Caenorhabditis elegans: one gene and its partners. The protein of the gene in region 1 purifies or fractionates together with the protein of each later gene. This does not show direct contact. Each region holds a gene or a part of one and is shown in the gene's direction. Other genes may lie near its edges.

Region 1 (5,611 bases):
TTTGAGCCAGCTTATCTGGCCGTTCGTCAATGATTGGAATGACAGGAGGCATTGCTGCTCTGAACTTTTTGATTTTTTCAATGGTTTCTTTGGAACGATAAGGACCACTGAACACGGATACCTTGTTCTGAAATTGGATGATTAGAAGGATTTACTACAAATTTGAATATTTACTGGAGCATTTTTGACGTTCAGAAGTTCAGCTGAGAACGGTTCATCACTGGCATCCCACTCTCCTTCAGTGCATTCTGGCAGCTGTTCGCCCTTATCTGGAAATTAAACTTTGTATTGTCCAGATGCGAAAACTGTAAAATAGCTTGGAGTTGGGTTACTGTAGTCCTTAAAGCCATACGCCTGTTTTCTAACTAAAAACGCTGCCTAAAAATATTTCGGTCGTGTCGAGACCGGGCACCGTACTTCTCAGCGTAAACTAACAAAATTTCGCATCTGTGTAATATTGAAATTTCATCCTTACCATCATCAGTAATTTGAATCTTCGGCAACTGTCGAATAGATTGCTGAACACTTGGTGCTGGTAGTTCCTCTTCTTTTTCGTCTTTTTTATCTTCTTTCTTTTCTTCTTTGCTTGGTTGCTGCTCTGCCATTTTTTGCCTCTTGATTTTGATTTTATCGTTTTGAAGAATAAAATTATTTCCTTTTCAAAAGATGTTTTTTCTTAATTAAAAGATTTCGAAAAAAAAATGCAATACACGTAATTTTGAGTTTTCACTTATGGAAATGTATTTTACAAATCATTTTCAAATACAAGATGGACAACAAAAAGAAGGAAGAAAATCCTAGTAAATCTGATACTTCTATAAGCCGTGAGTAATATATATAACTTTTCGGTTTTTTTTTTAATAAAAAGTTTTAGTTCCACCAAGCTCAACTGGAGAAGCGCTTCAAAATTATACAGAATCGGAATGGAACGCATCAGATGATCCGTATTCTGCAGAACTTCTCAATGTGAAAAAGAAGCCGGTAATTTTTATTTTTACGTAGATTTTCATTAAAACTTTTCCAGAATCGAGTTAATGTGTTCTCAGCAACTGAGAAGAACATGGAAACTATAATTGTCACTGAAGAATCTCCACCACAAACTCCATTGCCTTTAAGTTGAGAAATCACAAAATTCTGGGAACTTAATTTGTATTGGTTTAGAGCCTGTCGTAGAACACCACAATTTGGCTCGATTGATTCAGAAATCATGTCAATTGCTCTTGGATAAAACTACACCAGATGGAACAGAAGTGCAAATAAAATTAGAATTCCCTGACTGGAGAGATACCGCCTGATTCTCTATGTGTTGAATAAAGCTTAACGGTTAAAAAAAAATTAATTGAAATCTGCCTGAAAAAATATCTAAATACAGTACTCACAAGAGAAACTACGGATTTTGAGAATTCGAATTTCGTAGAAAATATTTTTGCAATGTGTATCAGCTGTAATGGTACATATATTTATTTATTAATATTGAATTTTATCTAATTTTTGAAACAATTGGTTTTTTAAACTATTAAAATTGTATTATACTGCCCCAAGTTAAGGAATTACTCGTAGTGTGCGTTCTACGGAACCGGTGGTGTGTCGAGTGCAGCTTCGCTCCATTGTACAAGTTCAATTTCAAACAGAGATTTGCCGCCAAGCAAAACTGCCTTCGTTTACTTTTCACTTTTTTACTTTTCCCATTTAACGAAGTTTATGCTGCCGTTGTTTTGTTATTTTTTTAATCATAATTTATTACCATTTTTAAAACATATTTACAGCCATGTCGATGGAGCCTCGTAAGAAGCGGAACTCGATTCTCAAGGTGCGGCAAGCCGTCGAAACCATCGAGGAAACCGTCATGAACAGTGGGCCTAGTTCCACAACAACTAATCGACGAGTCAGCTTTCATAACGTGAAGCATGTCAAGTCAGTTAGAGTCAGTGAATAATTTATCAATAAAATAATTATTTCAGGCAGTATGACAGGGACCATGGTAAAATTCTTGACGCCACACCAGTTAAGGAGAAGATTACTGACACTATTGGATCAGATGGTATTTTGACGTGAGTTCCATCCTTTAACGTGAAATAATGAATACGTAAAAATCTTTTTAAGACCACGTGGCGGAAACATGGATATTTCCGAATCTCCGGCCTGCACGTCCTCATTTCAAGTGTTCGGCGGTGGTAATCTCGATAAAACTATGGATATGTCTCTCGAAACAACTATCAACGAGAACAACGAAACGGCGAGATTGTTTGAAACCACAAGAGATCCAACACTATTATACGAAAAGATCGTCGAAACCACAACAAAAGTTACCGAGCGAATTGTTAGTATGCCACTGGATGATACCTTAGCAATGTTCAATACAACGAATCAAGAAGATAAGGATATGTCAGTTGATCGTTCAGTTCTTTTCACGATTCCCAAAGTTCCGAAGCATAACGCTACAATGAATAGAACTATACCGATGGACCTCGATGAATCAAAAGCAGCGGGCGGCCAGTGCGATGAAACGGTATGTTGAATTAATAGAAGGAACCAAATTATCTTAATTTTACAGATGAATGTGTTCAATTTCACAAACTTGGAAGCCGCTGAAATGGATACGAGTAAATTAGATGAAAATAATACCATGAATGCTATCCGGATTCCGATTAATTCAAACGTCATGCCTGTAGACATGGACATCACTGAACATCACACTTTAATTGAAGAAAAGAAAAATGATACATTCGGGCCAAGTCAACTGATGGACATTTCGGCGCCACAAGTTCAAGTTAATGATACTTTGGCCATTTTCAACAGTCCGAGAGACATCTGTAATAAGGGTTTGGGTGTTCCTCAGAATCTAATAAATATCGCCTCGAACGTCGTACCTGTGGACATGGACATCACTGATCAGGCCGTATTAAACGCGGAGAAGAAAAATGATCAATTCGAGACAAGTCAGCTTATGGACATTTCTATTCCGAAAGTTCTAGTAAATGACACTATGGCGATGTTCAACAGCCCGAAACACGTCAGTAAGAGCAGCATGGATCTCGAGAAAACGATTGAAGCCGCTGACAAATCAACGAAATACCCGAGTATCGCAGATGAGGTGGAAGATTTAGACATGGATATGGATATCACTGAACAACAACCATGTGAGGCTGGTAATCAGCAGAACGACGGCTTGCAACTTCAAAAGGAGGATTTAATGGACATTTCGGTGATTCGAGATTCACCTGCAGTAAACGACACCATGGCTGTGTTCCAGAGTCCTGCCAGAGTAAAGATCGGAGCGGTAAGTTTTAAGCACACTTTCCAATAAAAATGTATTTCTTTCAGAACAACTCGATCATTGATTCGCAGAAATCTATCGTGTTCGGTGACGAAATGAGCATTGACGAGACACAAAATGATGGAACCTTGACGTTGCCAAAGTCGAATGTAGAAGTGACTACAACTAATGATGTCTACACGTCTCTCGAGCGGCAAGAGGAAAATGCTTCAGAAAACGTATCCATGATAAACGAATCTTCTGTTCATTCGGAAATCGACAAAAAGTCGTTTATGCTCATCGAAGAAGAAAGGGCTTTTATGCACTCCTCCATGATTGATGTAGCACAAAAGTTGGAAGACGATGGTTCGTCGAAGACGCCAGTCATCCTTGCTTCACAGTCAGCTTCTCTTGCCACTAAAGAACCATCAGCCCTTCACAACTCGAGTGCAACTCTCAACAATTCGATGGAATTGGACAACAATACTCTTCTTAAAACTATGCAAATTACAACGTGTGAAGACATTAGCATGGTCCATGAGTCTATTGCTGTTGAACTGAACAGTAACAAAGAGCAGGAGCAATTCGGAGATGAGACTTTGCAGAAAAATGGTAAATTTCGTTTATTCAATAACTCTATTAAAAGTATGTTTTAGATACCTCGAATACTGGCGCGAATTTCACATTCCAAGGCCATAATGAAACATCGCAAATCATGAACAATGTCGACTCGGAAGCAGTGAACACGTCCAAGATTTCAACATATTCGGCTTTCAATTTGAGCATCAACCAGTCTATCTCTAAACGACGTCGATCTCTTCTGAATTCTGCTCGTGAATCTCCTCGTCGTGTTGCGTTGGAGAATTCTATAATGTCGATGAATGGGCAAACAATGGAAGCTCTGACAGAATATCGACAGAATAAAACTATGCAGACGAGTCAAGATTCGATGCCGAGTATGAGTTTGAACGATTCGGGAAGAGATATTCTCGCGATGGTAAGAATATCTCTTTGAGTATTGAATCGAAAATGTCTTTCAGAATACATCAGTCCGCTCTCCTCATCTGAATTCTTCAAAAACTGCTGCCCCAGGAACACCATCATTGATGTCACAAAATGTACAACTTCCACCTCCATCTCCTCAATTCGAAATGCCAGACTTCGATCCAGCTGTGGTCAACGTTGTATATTTAACATCTGAAGATCCGTCCACTGAACAACATCCAGAAGCTCTCAAATTTCAGCGTATTGTTGAAAACGAGAAAATGAAAGTACAACACGAGATTGATTCTCTGAATTCAACCAATCAACTTTCTGCTGAGAAAATTGATATGTTGAAGACTAAGGAGCTCTTGAAGTTTAGTCATGATGAGCGAGAAGCGATTATGATTGCAAGAAAAGACGCGGAAATCAAGTTTTTGGAGCTTCGTCTGAAATTTGCACTCGAGAAAAAAATTGAAAGTGACCAGGAAATTGCTGAACTAGAACAAGGAAATTCGAAAATGGCTGAGCAGCTAAGAGGTCTCGATAAGATGGCTGTCGTTCAAAAAGAACTAGAAAAGCTGAGAAGTCTTCCTCCATCACGCGAAGAGAGCGGGAAAATCCGAAAGGAGTGGATGGAGATGAAGCAATGGGAATTCGACCAGAAAATGAAAGCACTCCGAAATGTACGCTCAAACATGATTGCACTTCGTTCAGAGAAAAATGCTCTCGAAATGAAAGTCGCGGAAGAACACGAGAAGTTTGCCCAGAGGAACGATTTGAAGAAAAGTCGAATGCTGGTGTTCTCTAAGGCTGTTAAGAAAATTGTGAACTTCTAGTGAGTTTAATATCGAAAAATTAACAGTCAAAAATTATAATTTTAGATGCCGCCTTCACCCTTCCCTTGCATCAGGCCTACAATACTTCTGATGCTCATATAATTCTTTACCTAATGTGCCATATATTTTAGTTTTTTTTTCATCTAAAAATACCCATTGTGCATCAACCGCACTTGCTGTATTTCCTTCAAGATGTTTACCTTTTCCCCTATACATTTATGCCTCAGAGCAATCACAAAGTTATGTTTTTATTCCTAGTTCATTCTCAATCAATCTAAAGGAGACTTATGGTTTGAATAGTCAAATGAATAAATATTCCTTGTAACCAAATTTTTTTGTAGCCGTGTTTTTTTTTGTAAAATGAAGTTATTGTGCGTTTAAAAATCGGAGTTTAAAAAATCGGAGCTTCAGTCTCCTCTCTTAAAAATAATTTTAGCTTACTATTTACTACTGTAGTTCCAAATAGAATATACATAATAAGGCGGGTAGGCAAGAGTTTGACACCTCGGGAGGTACATAGGTACGTAGGTGAGCA
Region 2 (3,186 bases), 3.3 Mb from region 1:
GAGATTCATATCTAACTTTGTAATTCTATGTGCATTAAAGGTGTATAAAATATATATGAGTGTATATTGTGTTATGAAATATTGTGAATGAACGGGTGTATGTCAATGACAGCTGCTCTTTTCCTTGCTCTTTGTTCAGGTTTTGAGTGCACCTCTGCAGACCTCTGCCAATTATTTTGGCAAAAGAAAACGGGAATTTCTAGGCCACGCACTTTACTCGATTCTGAACGGAATAACAAACCAATTTTCAAAAAGAAATTGTATTAAAACAAATAAACATATCATTGTGCATTGTATTTATTGAAACTAATTACAATTTATGATCCAATATTATGCAAATCGATCAGTTTTTGATAGGTACCCAATTCGTGGCCGAGTCTCTCGGAAAGCTAGGCCAAATGCCGTTTTTGGCGGCAGTCGACGCGTTTTGAAAAAGAAAGAATGAGGACACGCAAACGTTTTTCTTGTCAAATATTCCCGTGACCTTTTGACAACTCATAATCATGGAGACGTGTAAGATTGATGATATGGACGGTGACGGTGAATCATTATTCAGTGTTAAATGGAAGGCCTTCCGGAAGAATCCGCGATTCTCGAGGTAATTATTAATATTTATTCAAAGCTTTTATATTTTTACTTTTAAGTATCATAATCAAAACGTTTCAGGTGAATGCCAATACAACTTCCCCCGATGTAAAAGTTAAATGTAAACAATGTGATCGATTTTTCACGTCTGAAAGATCCCTTCGTTGTCATATCAAAGTGCACAGTTAGTTTCAGGCGATTAGATTTATGAAACCAATATTTATTTTTAGATGACAAATTGTTGGAGTGCTATTTCTGCGACAAAATGTTCAATCGAACGGATACTCTGTTTTTCCACGCACTCGACCACATCAGCAAAGGGTAATTGCAAGAAATATTTTGAAATTTTTGAAAAACTGTTTCGTTCAGAACTCTACCTTGTCGTGCCGAAGGATGTGATCAACTCGTTGAGACCATGTTAGAGGGCGAGAATCATGCGAATACAGCTCATCATGTGAATGGTACAGTATCGATAAAGTGCAAGGTAAGTAAAATATCGATAGATTGAAACAGAACTAATCAAAACATTTCAGGATTGCTCCGAAGTTTCAGTATCCTTCCGTAAAATGCTATTCCATCACACATTCAAGCATGGAGAACTTAAAGAATATGCGGAGGAAATGATTATCAAGCAGAAAGATTTCCTTCGAATGAAAAAGAATCAAAGCCGGAAGGAAAGAAAAACTTCAGTTGGAGCAAAGGAAGAATCAAAGCAATTCGATGTTCAAGATGCTTTAGAAATCGAAGTCAAGGAAGAAATCTATGAAGCAGACGAAGATGATGGGATTTTAAAGCAATTGCAGGTTGGATTTATAGCATGATAGAGGTTGAAACTTGAATTTTCAGATGGCTATGTCTGTATCATCAGCTTCCAATTCGGAGATGATCGCGAAACTATCGGATGTGATTGCAGAATTATTCCCATTGAATGATAACGAGAAATACCAATGCACTCATTGCTTGATGGTATGGTTTTTGCTCTGGAAAATCTTAAAAACGTAATTTTTCACAGAGTTTCACCGACGCAATCCTCTGGATGACGCACATTGGATATCACGAAATTGACGATCCGTTCAAATGTTCTGGATGCGGCCGAAAGTTTGAGAATCGGTAGGCTATTTCGAAGATTTTGCTCTGAAGATCAGTAATAATTACAGACAAGCGTTCGCTCTTCATCTAAACTACTTCGCACATACAATTGGTTTTGGAGGAGAAAACGAAAGCGATGAATAGTTCTATTTCATGTTCCTTTATTTTATTTAACAAATAAATATGCATAATACTTGTATTTCTGCTCAAATTTATTCCTGCGTGAAGTTCCATAACTTTTAAAATACTTCTTGTTTAATTTCGTTTCATAGTTTCTTGTTAAGTGTATTTGTAAGTTTTCCGCGTTTTAGATAAAATCAATATCATGTCGCAAAGAAAAGAAGTCTTGAATCAAATGCTGGACACAACTCTGGAAATATTCACAAAATCATTGTTAGAGTCCCAGGATTTGTGGAAAATGGTAAGCTTGATATTTTTGCACGTTTTATCCAGAACTAAAATTTTCAGAGTTCTCATAGAAAACTCAACATGGATAAAGCTGCAGTGGATGCTGTGATGGCTCGAATGGCGAAATCAACACAACAAAAAGTTTTGGAGAAGACTGATCAAATGATTAAAGAAAATAGTGTTTACGAACTTTTCGATGATATGGAACAATTGACGAGAGAATCTGAAGAATTAAATAAGCAACTCGGAAGAGAAATGGGATATAATCCAGTCAATGTTTGTATATTGATTTTAATATTAATATACACATTTTCATCGTTTTAGGCAAAACGAGATGTCGCATTGCACCTCTCCGAAACTGCCGAGAAAATGCTCACTGAAGCAGATGCTGAAATCGAAAAGATTGAAAAAGAACTGAAAGCTGAAGAAGATGAAATAGCTCGTCGTAAGCAGGTGCTCAAGGAGCTTGCAACAATTGTCGAGTCACAACAGCAAAAGCTGTAGAATTTTGATATTAATATAACCTTCACTTAATTTAACTGAATCTTTCTTTTCCTATTTACCAAATTTTTCTGAACTTTTGTTTGTCTCTAAAATAAAACTTTCTCTTCAAAAAAAACATCTTTCGGAATAATTAATATTCATATTGGTTTGGAATTGTGAGGGGAAAATTCAGAAAGGGCAAGGAGGTATGAAACTTTAAAAAGTGATTAGTCATGATAAAGGTTAGCAGGAATATCTAGCGATGGGAAATAGGGGACAGATACTTACAGAAAAAAAAAAGTAAATCACATTCAAGGTATAAAATATAATTTTGTGTTGAATCTCAAGGAGGACAATGATAATGGGTTTCTGCGAACTCATTCATCCGTTTCACGTGCTCACTGAAGTAATTGACCATTCCCGAGTGAACAAGACGGCGTGGAAGGCCACCTGAAAAATATAATGAATAGAAAAATTGATAAAGTTTTAGTTTTCATACCTTTGAGATCAGTCTTCATGAGCCATTCGAAATAAGTTACTCCTGCTTCATCTTTCAATGTTCGAATCATGGATGGGAAATTGTGTCCTCGTACGATTTTCGGATTTCCATTGTTTGGGCAT
Region 3 (4,213 bases), 2.4 Mb from region 1:
ATATATCGACGAATTTGAACCTTTTATCTTATTTCATCAATAAGAAAAAAGAAAACAAAAATTTAATATTCTTCAGCTAAAAAGGGCCAAAATTGTATGCTATTATTCGAAAAATCGACATTTTGGAATCTCGAAAAAAAAACCGAAAAATTTTCGCTTTTCGATTTAAAAAAAAGGGAAGAGCGGGATTAGCAAACAACTGGAAATTCTTGAGTGAATAGTATTTTTTGAAAGTTTAAAGTAAATTTTTATCAACAAATCTTCACCCTAAATGAAAATTATTGTTTGATTTAATTTTTTCCCCAAAAATATTTCAACAAACATTTTGCTTTTAATTTCTTCCGATATTTCGGTTGACCACAATTAAAATTTTAAAACACTCACCTGAAGCCAAAGTACTTGTAGCCACAAGAATAACAATATTTTTCTCCCGAAATCCTAGTTCAATGCATTCTCTTTCCTCCATCGTCAATCCAGCATGATGATATGCTACTCCCCATGCAAGTGTTGACATAACATTCCGATCCTTGCAACCATTCCGTTCCAATCCATGCTTTATAAATAATAGTCCATTGGCTCGTTCTTTTAATATTTCCAACAATGAGCTGTCGGTTTTATTGATCTCATGGAATCTCGACGCAATATTCAAAGCAGTCTTCTCGGCATCAAGTTTCGAAGAAATCATTACCAAAGTCTGAGAATTGCGGCGAAAACTCTCTTCGGTAAGCAATATTAATGGATCTTCAGAGAATTCTCTTAGAACTTTGTTATCTCCAGATTTCCTCAACTCCGAACCAATTACAATATGATTTTGTAGAACAATTGGTCGAAATCTTGCTTCGAAAACTTTCGCACCGTCCAGCCATTTGCCTATTCGATAAAGTTCTGGAATAGTTGCACTCATTCCGATAATTCTAACTTTTTCCAGTGCAGATTGGTTCCAGAGCAAAACTTTCGAGAGCATGTGCTCAATGTGTGCACCACGAGACGAATCGAAAACCATGTGCATTTCATCAACGACTATCATTCCTGAAAGCTACTTTTTGTGAAAATTTTAAATTAAAATCGATTTATCTAACCAATTTCCTCAAACCAATCTTCTGATAATGCTCGATTTGTCAAACTTGCTGCTTTTTCGATGGTACAAACTGCCCCAAGCCACTCATTTGGATTTGAGGCCTGTGGACCAATGAAGCCACAGACAGAAATGTCATCTCGTCTCCAACACCGTTGAATTTGATGAAGTTTCTCTCGAGCCACGGAGATATAAGGAAGTACGAAGAGTACCTTTCTACCAGTTGAAGCGACTTTCCATGCTGAAAATTACAGTTTTTAAACATTTATTCTTTAAACCAGATAAAATAATACATAAAAGTTCAGCTACAATGCTTTTCCCAGCACTTGTTGGCGCACTGAATATCAAGTGTTGATCTTCAAATTGTCTTGCCTCATTCAACACATCAATCTGCCAATCGAACAGCGCTTTGATGTTCTGAAATTAAAAAAATTTTGTCCCTATTTCATCACAGCGATTTATGTTACCTGCTCTGCGTAATAATCGATGATTTTTGAAGAAACCCATTCTGGAAATCTACAGGAAGCCTCGTCCATCTTGTTTCATACTAAAAACTCTGATTTCAGACTGAAAAACATGTTTTTTTCAGCGAAGAAAACTAAAATTTGTTTGTGGCCGCGGTGGCCTAGTTTTCACGGCCGAGAAATGTCACATGTTTTGGCGCGCTCTTCGGCGAATTCAAATAAACTTTTTTGTTTTTAACAATTTCTAACTTTATTTTTGTGTTTTTAGAACTGAAATTCCATTTTTCAGGAGAAATGTCAAACGTTGTACTAATTGTGTATGATCCGCGGATGATTTCAAAGTATCTTGGTCAAAAATTGCATATGGGCCTTGTCGCCGATGACATTATCAAGCCAACCGTAAGTTTGAACAGAATATTGAATTCATCAGCACAAATAACCCGATTTCAGGCAGAAATAGCGCAACAAATATTTGCTAATTTTGTGAGGCTTGTGTTAAATGTGTCGGAAAGCTCGCTGACGACCCTTCCGCTGTCCGCCAACTGTGATTATGATCCAGAATTGCATAAAAAGAGCATTCCTATCATTATTCTCTTCCAATGCATGTAAGATTTTAATTTTAATGTTAGATTTGCTGAAATATTTTTTCAGGAAAGCATTTATCAAAGATAATTCTGGCAACAAGCTGGACTTGACGATGTGCGATCTCGTGACACCTGCAAAACACGAACATCGATTCAGAAAGCTGACAAGTTTTCTTGTAGATTTTCTGAAACTTCACGAATTGGCCACTCCAGCGTTCAATGAAATTAGCGAAGAGTTCAGTGATCGAAAGTTCGAAATGGAAAAGATTCGGGAAGAGTTGTTAGAAGCCGAGAAGAAGAAAAATGATCTTCTCGCGAAACAAAGCATAAGAAAACGTCATGAGCATGAATTAATCAACGAACAGAGCAATGCGAAGGCAGAACTTAAAAATGTTGTGAACGAATATACCGAAACTCGTCAAATTAATGAAGAACTCGACAAGCAGAAAGAAGAAGCTATTCTGCACATTCAAGCCCTCGAAAAGGAAATGCTAACTGGTAAAAAGACAATTGAGCATTTGAATGAAGAAGTTCTGACATCGCCGGAACAGCTGAAACAAGAAATGGAGGAAAGGAAACGTCACATTGAAGAGCTCCGCGATTGTCTTGAATCATCAAAGTACTGATATATCTTCAGTCTCTCCAAAAATTCAAAATAAAAGTAATTATTTTCAGAAAAGGCCTTCAAGCAAAACTCGAGGCTCGTGAAATTTGCATCAACTCGGAGAAGAACGTGCCAGTGATTATTGAGAAGATCCATCAGTGGACTGAAGTTCGAGAAGTTATCATTGACCTGATCGATGTTGAAAGTGAGAATCTTCGAAAGCTCAAGGAAATGGAGGAGCAATTGGATTTTATGATGAAGGAGATGGAAACGGCACAAAAGCGACTCGTCGAGCAGTCGGAGACTCATGAACAATTGCGTATAGAACACACGCAGAAAAGTGAAGAGCGTCAGCGTAGAATTGAGGAGATTACCGAGTGAGGAATTTATTTGATACTTTGAAAACATTTTTTTAAACGATGTAAATCTTTCAGGCAAATCGCAAATTTGAAAACTAGTCAGCCAGATGTGTCACAGGAAATTGCTAAAAAGGTTTTTGTCAGATCAATCTTCATAAAACTCACCAACATTTTTTTCAGAAGCAAGAACTCCTCGCTCTAAAAAACGCACACAGTGAGACGATTTCCCAAATCACCAACTCTTGCCAAGATGCTGTTGCAAAATTCGCAAAACTTAATGCAATGTTCAAAGAAACCCAGAAAGTAGCTTTTGAGAAGAACACTGCAGCTGCACGTGAAATGGAACGTCTAAAAAGCTCTCTTACCGGACGCCTTCTGAGTGATTACACATTCGGATCATCGACAATCGACGCCGGAGAGAACACGGAAAATTGTGATCCACAACCTAACGATTCGAGTTTTTCCGTTTTCAAATAGAATGACTCAACTCGAAAATTTCACTTCATTTGATCTCTATTCAATGTAAATGTTATGCTTTCTTCCATACCAATAACAAAATTTTAACTGAGTCTAAATAAATCATGTGGTCTTTATTTTCAAATGTTTTCTTTTCATTCCCAGGCTCTAGAAATTTCACACCAATTTACTTTTCAGGTAAGAATTCACTCAAGTGGTATTTACGGGGAGATTATGTGCCTCTGTTTTTAATTAAAAATAAAATTAGAAATTTTGAATTTTTTGCCTTGTATTTTTTTGTTTGCGTCTTTAAGACTACAGTAAGACAAAAAGTGGGCGTGGTTTCTTATTTTGGAGAAAGCTCAAACAGGGAATAAGTGAGAGTCGGAAGTTTTGAAACGTTTTTTGAAAAAAAAATTATCTTGAAATGAAAACTTTTCCAGAAATTTTAAACTTCTCTTCGCTCATTAGCTCTACAAGTTGGAATTGTCCTTCTGAATTGAATATTATCCTACCAAAATTCTAAATAAATTTAAATAAATCGTGCGGGCCTCGAGTTATTGCATTCAACATTGACATTTTTCGTTCATTTCTCAATTTTTGTATTGTATTTCTGAAAAATTCACTCTACAAATTATGCAGTAAGCTTTTTCAAATAATGTTCTTTTCAG
Region 4 (5,184 bases), on another chromosome or scaffold:
ATGGTCAAAACAGGAGAGAATGTTAAAATTGAGAAACAAACAAGACAACTATTTTGACGAGCGACGTGAGAAATGATAGAAGTTGTTGCTCGCCTTTCTCTTTTACACTGGAAACGCAGAGAGACGAGAGATCGAGCGAGAGACCGCGCATTTGGATGGGTTGAAACGAATCAAATAAAAAACACATGAAGAATAACCGAAAACACAAATATAAATGTTTGAAGATCATTTGAAATTAAGAAGGCATGAACAGTAGTGATAAAACAAACCATTTCTAGAAATTTGATCAAATATGCTGTCAAAACAACGTCACTCATATAGATAAAAGTAAAAAATCAAGAATCACAAATGTTTTAGGGAAAATCTGAATTAGAAAATTGGAAGAAATGAAAATAATACATTTTGTAAACATTTTTTCTCAATTTTGGATGAAATCGATGAAGGGAAACCTTCAAAATTGTAAGACAAAAAGGCAAAAACAAAAAATAAATGGAGACCCGAAGAACTCGGGGGATGTCCAATTGGGGGGATTACCAGGGGATTGGTCCCGCCCACAGAACCGTGGCTTGCAATACGCCCATTTCTGCAACTGCCGCACGGTTTTAAAATTATTTTTTCTTGTTAATTCTCGCTCTATTGAGAAAAATACAGTTTTAAAACCGTGCGGCATTTGCAGAAATGGGCGTATTGCAAACCACGGTTCTGTGGGTGAGGCCAATCCCCCGAGTTGGTAATCCCCCCAATTGGACATCCCCCGAGTTCTTCGGGTCTCAATAAATGTTCGAAAGTATAGAAAGCATGCAAAATTGCGTTAAGTTAAATGCTGTCTGTGCAAACATCTCCGCAAAAGTTCAAAATTTTTTGCGCGGGGGCGCGGGTCTCACCACGAATACCGTACACTTGATACCGACAGGCGGGAAAAATCATTTTTAGAGTCTGATTTTTAGGCTTTGATTTTATTCTATTTTTCTCTTTTCGTTTTAAAATTTTATTTTCTTGCGGATCATTAGAAAAAAAAATGAAAACGCGCTTGAAATAACTTTCGAAGAACTTGGTTGAAATCAATATGTACTTTAAAGAGCTACCGCTCAACTAATATTGCACGAATTTTATTTAGAAAACTACTAATAAATTCTGCGTTTAGTATTTTCTACTGTTAGGGACGTGGAGGCCTTGTTGAAATTCGTGAAAACAAGCATAAATAGATCTCGATGAAGTATTATTCATTTTTCTTTATTTCACCAAAGCGTATCGATTGGCCTCTCTTCAAAACTGCGTTTGACTTGGTTCGGCTATTATTTTATACAAAGTCTGTGTCTTTCTCCCTTAAAATCAATCAATATTTGGCTCATAATACCTTCTTGCCTTTTGAATGCGAAAAGAAAACAATAAATACGTTTCCTCTATCCTCTTCTCGTAGCCTTCCCCCTCTAACCAAACGCGCTCCGTTGTACAATGCAAAACCGCCACTTTCAAATTTAGCTCCCATTTGACATCGAGAAGTTTGCTTATATTTATTCACCTCTTAAAATTGTCTTTTTTTCAAAACGATATCAAATTGCAGAATGAATCGAAAACCGCGAACCCGCAGTACGATTGTTCCTGGTCGAGTAAGTGATTCAGATTTTTAAAATTCTTAACAAATGTTTGATTTTTACAAAAAAAAAGTTCCACATTATGGTAATTTGATTGCTTACTTATTTTGTTTATTTCAGAAAATGATCACTGAAATCGTTGCTCTTCGTGAGGCTGGCTTGGACGATACAAGACCGTCGTACTTGGAGGAACCAACAGTTATCGTCGATGAATCGATGATGAATGATAGTGCAAATTTGGAGGAGCGAGAATGGAGAAAACAGGGACTATCTGAGAAGCAGATGTTCGCTATTTTGGAGAAAAGGAAACAAACACAGCTTAACAATGTAAATTTCAGTCACAAAATCTTTTCAACACCTAATAAACTATATTCAGGCCAGAAAACGTCTCGAAAAGGAAATGTACGGAGCGAAAACCTTCAAAGAGTTGATTGCTTGTCGTGAATACTCCGAATGTGAGAGCGACAGCGAGAACACTGTGAATCAAAATGTCCGAAGCGCTTCGGTTTTTGCCATTCCGGCGCTTCCGAAACACATCAGTGAAAAGTCGATGATGGGCTCGCCAATTGCTAATTCCAGAGGGGTATGAGATGAATTTGCGTGTTCATAGTTTAATAAATCTATAATTTCAGAGTGGAAAAGCTGGATTAAGTTGTTCAACTCCCAAGAGCTCGAGTGATACGTCGATGAGGTCCTTGAGATCGCTTGATATTTCACATGTCGTCAATACCGATCGACTAGATGCTGAAAGAGTGGTAAAATTTGTTTGTTTTAAAGATATTTAAACTAACTTTTATATCGTTTCAGACTGTTCACACCAAGTCTGTCGTTATCCCAACCATTCTCGAGGAGAGAGAGTCAACACTCCAGAAAACTCTCACGATTGAGAAGAATCACAGCTCTCAGCTGCAAAAAACCTTCACTGTGGCTGAAGATGCTCCTGAAGAACTTCAGAAAACGGTGACAATCGAGAAGAATCAGAGCTCGGAAATGCAAAGAACGTTTACGGTGGCTAAAGATGCATCAAAAGAGCAATCACAGCTTCAAAGAACGGTAACGATCGAGAAGAATCAAAGCTCTCAGCTGCAAGGAAACTTCACGGTGGCTAAAGATGCTCCTGAAGAACTTCAGAAAACGGTGACGATCGAGAAGAATCAGAGCTCGGAAATGCAGGGAACGGTCACAGTGGCTAAAGATGCAGAACACTCCTCTCTACAGAAAACGTTCACAAAGCCGACCGAGAAAGATGAGTCATCACTTCAAAGAACTTTCAACGTAGCTAACAGAGATGAAAATAACGATTCAACTCTTCAAAAGACGTTTATTATTGAAGAAAGAGATGCATACGAGCAAGGAACCACGAGTGTTGGTGTGAAGCCTCCAGTACTGGCACAAAACACGATGGAAGGAGGAGAAAAACGGAGAACGTCGAAAGTCACTTCGGATGAGCGAGAACGACGTAATGCCAGTATTTCTAATCCTCTTCACAACAGTATGCTCGAAAAGGAAGAAATTCAATCGCCGGGAGCCAACTTCTTCAAACATCCCCGAAAAAAGATCAGACCGGTGGTTCAAACGCCGCCACGAATCAAGGCAACCAGCAGACTTAGTACTGAATCGAATAAGGAGCGAACGATTGAGATGGAATCGGTAGCTGAAGAACGAACAATGGAAGCGGATTCTATTGGCTCGTCTTATATCTCTCCAACATTCAATGCATCTCGAGTTTCGCCGGTTCCAGAAGTTCCAGAAAAAGTGGAGCCAATGCATGTATCGAAAGCCGCAACTCCAAAGTATGTTTTTTTTCGAATTGCGGAATATTATTCTTATTTCTCCATTTTCCAGATCGATTCGGCACACGGATAATTCTATCCGTAATATTGGACCCACCAACAATGTCGAATGTGCTCGGGCTGCACTGCTCTCAACACCGACTAGGATGGATATCGTTGATTCTGTGAATCGAGTGACCCCGGCACGACGATATGAACAGCCTACTTTCGCTTCACTCGTCAAAAGGATGAATATGAAAGATGCTAATCGTTTGCTTGAGGAAACTTCACGAAAGAATACGCCTGCGAAGACTACTGCTACAACTTCTTCAGCCGCTGTTCGCATGGTTTTGGAGGATGATGAGGAGGATCAGGCGACGGAGGTCATTGAAAAAAGATCTGAAAATGGTGGTGTGATTGTCGATGGTGAGGATGAGGCAGCAGATTCAAGCAATCGCTCCCTGAACATCGAATTGAATGCGCTGACTGTCAACGAAGAGCCTGCACATGATATCAGTGCCATTGATTTTCCAGAGGACGATACAAATGAAATGAGATCTTCTTCTGACGAAGAAGAAATGGAAGCACGTCCAGATCCAAGGAAAAAGTCGTCTAGAAGACTCGGGCTTCTTAGTGAGTGTTACTTCACAAATAACAACGTTTTTAAAACAATTTCAGGTGATTCGATTGCTCTTGGTCTTGCTAGTTCGTCGAGAAGACGCCCAAACGACACATTCGTTGACGAAACATGGTATCCTGAACCGAATTCTAAAGGAAACAGACGTCCGAGAACACACAGGGGTATGAAACTGAAAGAGCATCAACTCAGTGAGTTTTAATTAATTAATGCAATCATTCGAAACTTTAAACATTTTCAGTGAAGCCAGAAGATGCTCCAGACGGTGTCCGAAGATCGACGCGTGTCCGCGTGAAGCCTGTTCGTTCGTGGCTTGGAGAACAACCGGTTTATGTCAATTCGCCGATTAGTGGCTGCAAGCGATTGACTGGTGTGACGGCCGTTGTCATCAAGGATCCGCGTTTGTGCTATTACAGAACTGCTGACGTCAGAACAGCAACCGAGCGAGAGCTGAAAGATAAGGCCAACAAAAGGGCTTTGGCGCAGGAAAAGAAGCAACAAAGACAGAATGCAAGAAGTGGGCGACGTCACGATAGTGACGACGATGAAGAAGATGATATGTGAAGAAATAACTATTGCTCCACTATTTAGCAATGTCAAAAAACCCATCTAATCCCAATACCTGTAAATAATGCAATTTTAAAGGGAATAAAGTTTGAATCTGTCAATCCTTTTTTATGTTTAGTTTATATCTGGTGAATTGTTCCAATAAATTTTATTTATTTTTCTTTAATTTGCGCGACATCCTCCATATGCCTAGCAAAAATTCAGATTAGCGATTTTCAATTTGCTCTAATGGGTTGTATATCCGGCTGAGCCACACACACACATACACATATTTATCACTAAGTCGTCGTCATAAGCGTGATATATACCGGATATATAAGATTTGGATATTTACGAAGAGGCGAGGGGTATAAATAAGCGACGGCCCGTTGAGGTATTCATGCACGCCACCTCCCGTGTCGCCTGGTTTTGGCGGCCGTCCTGTCAATCGTTTAGTAAGTCTTTTTTGCGCGCTTTTCCAGAAAAAAATCAGCTTTTCGTTTTGAAATGTTGTCACTTTACAAGATTTTTCCATGTATTCTAAGATTCTTCTTAAAGGCGCACGGATTTATTCAGATGGGTCTCGGCGCGCAAAAAAGTTTATGGTAGTCTTCTGAGAATTCTTCCTCGTTTT

The links.
Region 2: the proteins of knl-1 (region 1) and kbp-2 purify together in Caenorhabditis elegans (affinity purification with mass spectrometry, with the first as the bait; 2 studies listed by BioGRID). This does not show direct contact.
Region 3: the proteins of knl-1 (region 1) and him-10 purify together in Caenorhabditis elegans (affinity purification with mass spectrometry; 2 studies listed by BioGRID, with this or other methods). This does not show direct contact.
Region 4: the proteins of knl-1 (region 1) and hcp-4 purify together in Caenorhabditis elegans (affinity purification with western blotting; 2 studies listed by BioGRID, with this or other methods). This does not show direct contact.

Annotation. Positions count from the first base shown.
Region 1 is NC_003281.10:8,248,868-8,254,478, forward strand, and holds knl-1 (Outer kinetochore KNL1 complex subunit knl-1), read left to right. Parts: upstream 1-1,764; 5' UTR 1,765-1,768; coding exon 1,769-1,914; intron 1,915-1,961; coding exon 1,962-2,051; intron 2,052-2,103; coding exon 2,104-2,509; intron 2,510-2,554; coding exon 2,555-3,280; intron 3,281-3,324; coding exon 3,325-3,868; intron 3,869-3,912; coding exon 3,913-4,253; intron 4,254-4,296; coding exon 4,297-5,076; downstream 5,077-5,611. Other genes in the region: C02F5.10 (uncharacterized protein), read right to left, coding at 1-127, 175-269, 476-605; C02F5.2 (DUF5356 domain-containing protein), read left to right, coding at 770-824, 875-981, 1,025-1,115, 1,162-1,295. UniProt on the Caenorhabditis elegans protein: Acts as a component of the outer kinetochore KNL1 complex that serves as a docking point for spindle assembly checkpoint components and mediates microtubule-kinetochore interactions.
Region 2 is NC_003281.10:4,902,684-4,905,869, reverse strand, and holds kbp-2 (Mediator of RNA polymerase II transcription subunit 21), read left to right. Parts: upstream 1-1,985; 5' UTR 1,986-1,999; coding exon 2,000-2,095; intron 2,096-2,142; coding exon 2,143-2,358; intron 2,359-2,406; coding exon 2,407-2,586; 3' UTR 2,587-2,686; downstream 2,687-3,186. Other genes in the region: F26F4.8 (C2H2-type domain-containing protein), read left to right, coding at 563-598, 667-769, 816-906, 955-1,069, 1,119-1,388, 1,432-1,551, 1,598-1,695, 1,743-1,818; tag-340 (START domain-containing protein), read right to left, coding at 2,909-3,015, 3,065-3,186.
Region 3 is NC_003281.10:5,801,432-5,805,644, forward strand, and holds him-10 (Kinetochore protein Nuf2 homolog), read left to right. Parts: upstream 1-1,828; 5' UTR 1,829-1,833; coding exon 1,834-1,938; intron 1,939-1,989; coding exon 1,990-2,144; intron 2,145-2,190; coding exon 2,191-2,742; intron 2,743-2,798; coding exon 2,799-3,104; intron 3,105-3,161; coding exon 3,162-3,219; intron 3,220-3,266; coding exon 3,267-3,563; 3' UTR 3,564-3,681; downstream 3,682-4,213. Other genes in the region: polq-1 (DNA polymerase theta), read right to left, coding at 385-1,029, 1,080-1,316, 1,369-1,492, 1,543-1,611; R12B2.3 (Ras-associating domain-containing protein), read left to right, coding at 4,179-4,183. UniProt on the Caenorhabditis elegans protein: Acts as a component of the essential kinetochore-associated NDC80 complex, which is required for chromosome segregation in mitosis and meiosis and spindle checkpoint activity.
Region 4 is NC_003279.8:3,862,319-3,867,502, reverse strand, and holds hcp-4 (HoloCentric chromosome binding Protein), read left to right. Parts: upstream 1-1,564; 5' UTR 1,565-1,565; coding exon 1,566-1,610; intron 1,611-1,715; coding exon 1,716-1,922; intron 1,923-1,971; coding exon 1,972-2,178; intron 2,179-2,227; coding exon 2,228-2,350; intron 2,351-2,402; coding exon 2,403-3,388; intron 3,389-3,440; coding exon 3,441-4,000; intron 4,001-4,045; coding exon 4,046-4,195; intron 4,196-4,245; coding exon 4,246-4,568; 3' UTR 4,569-4,670; downstream 4,671-5,184. Other genes in the region: guk-1 (guanylate kinase), read left to right, coding at 4,951-5,005.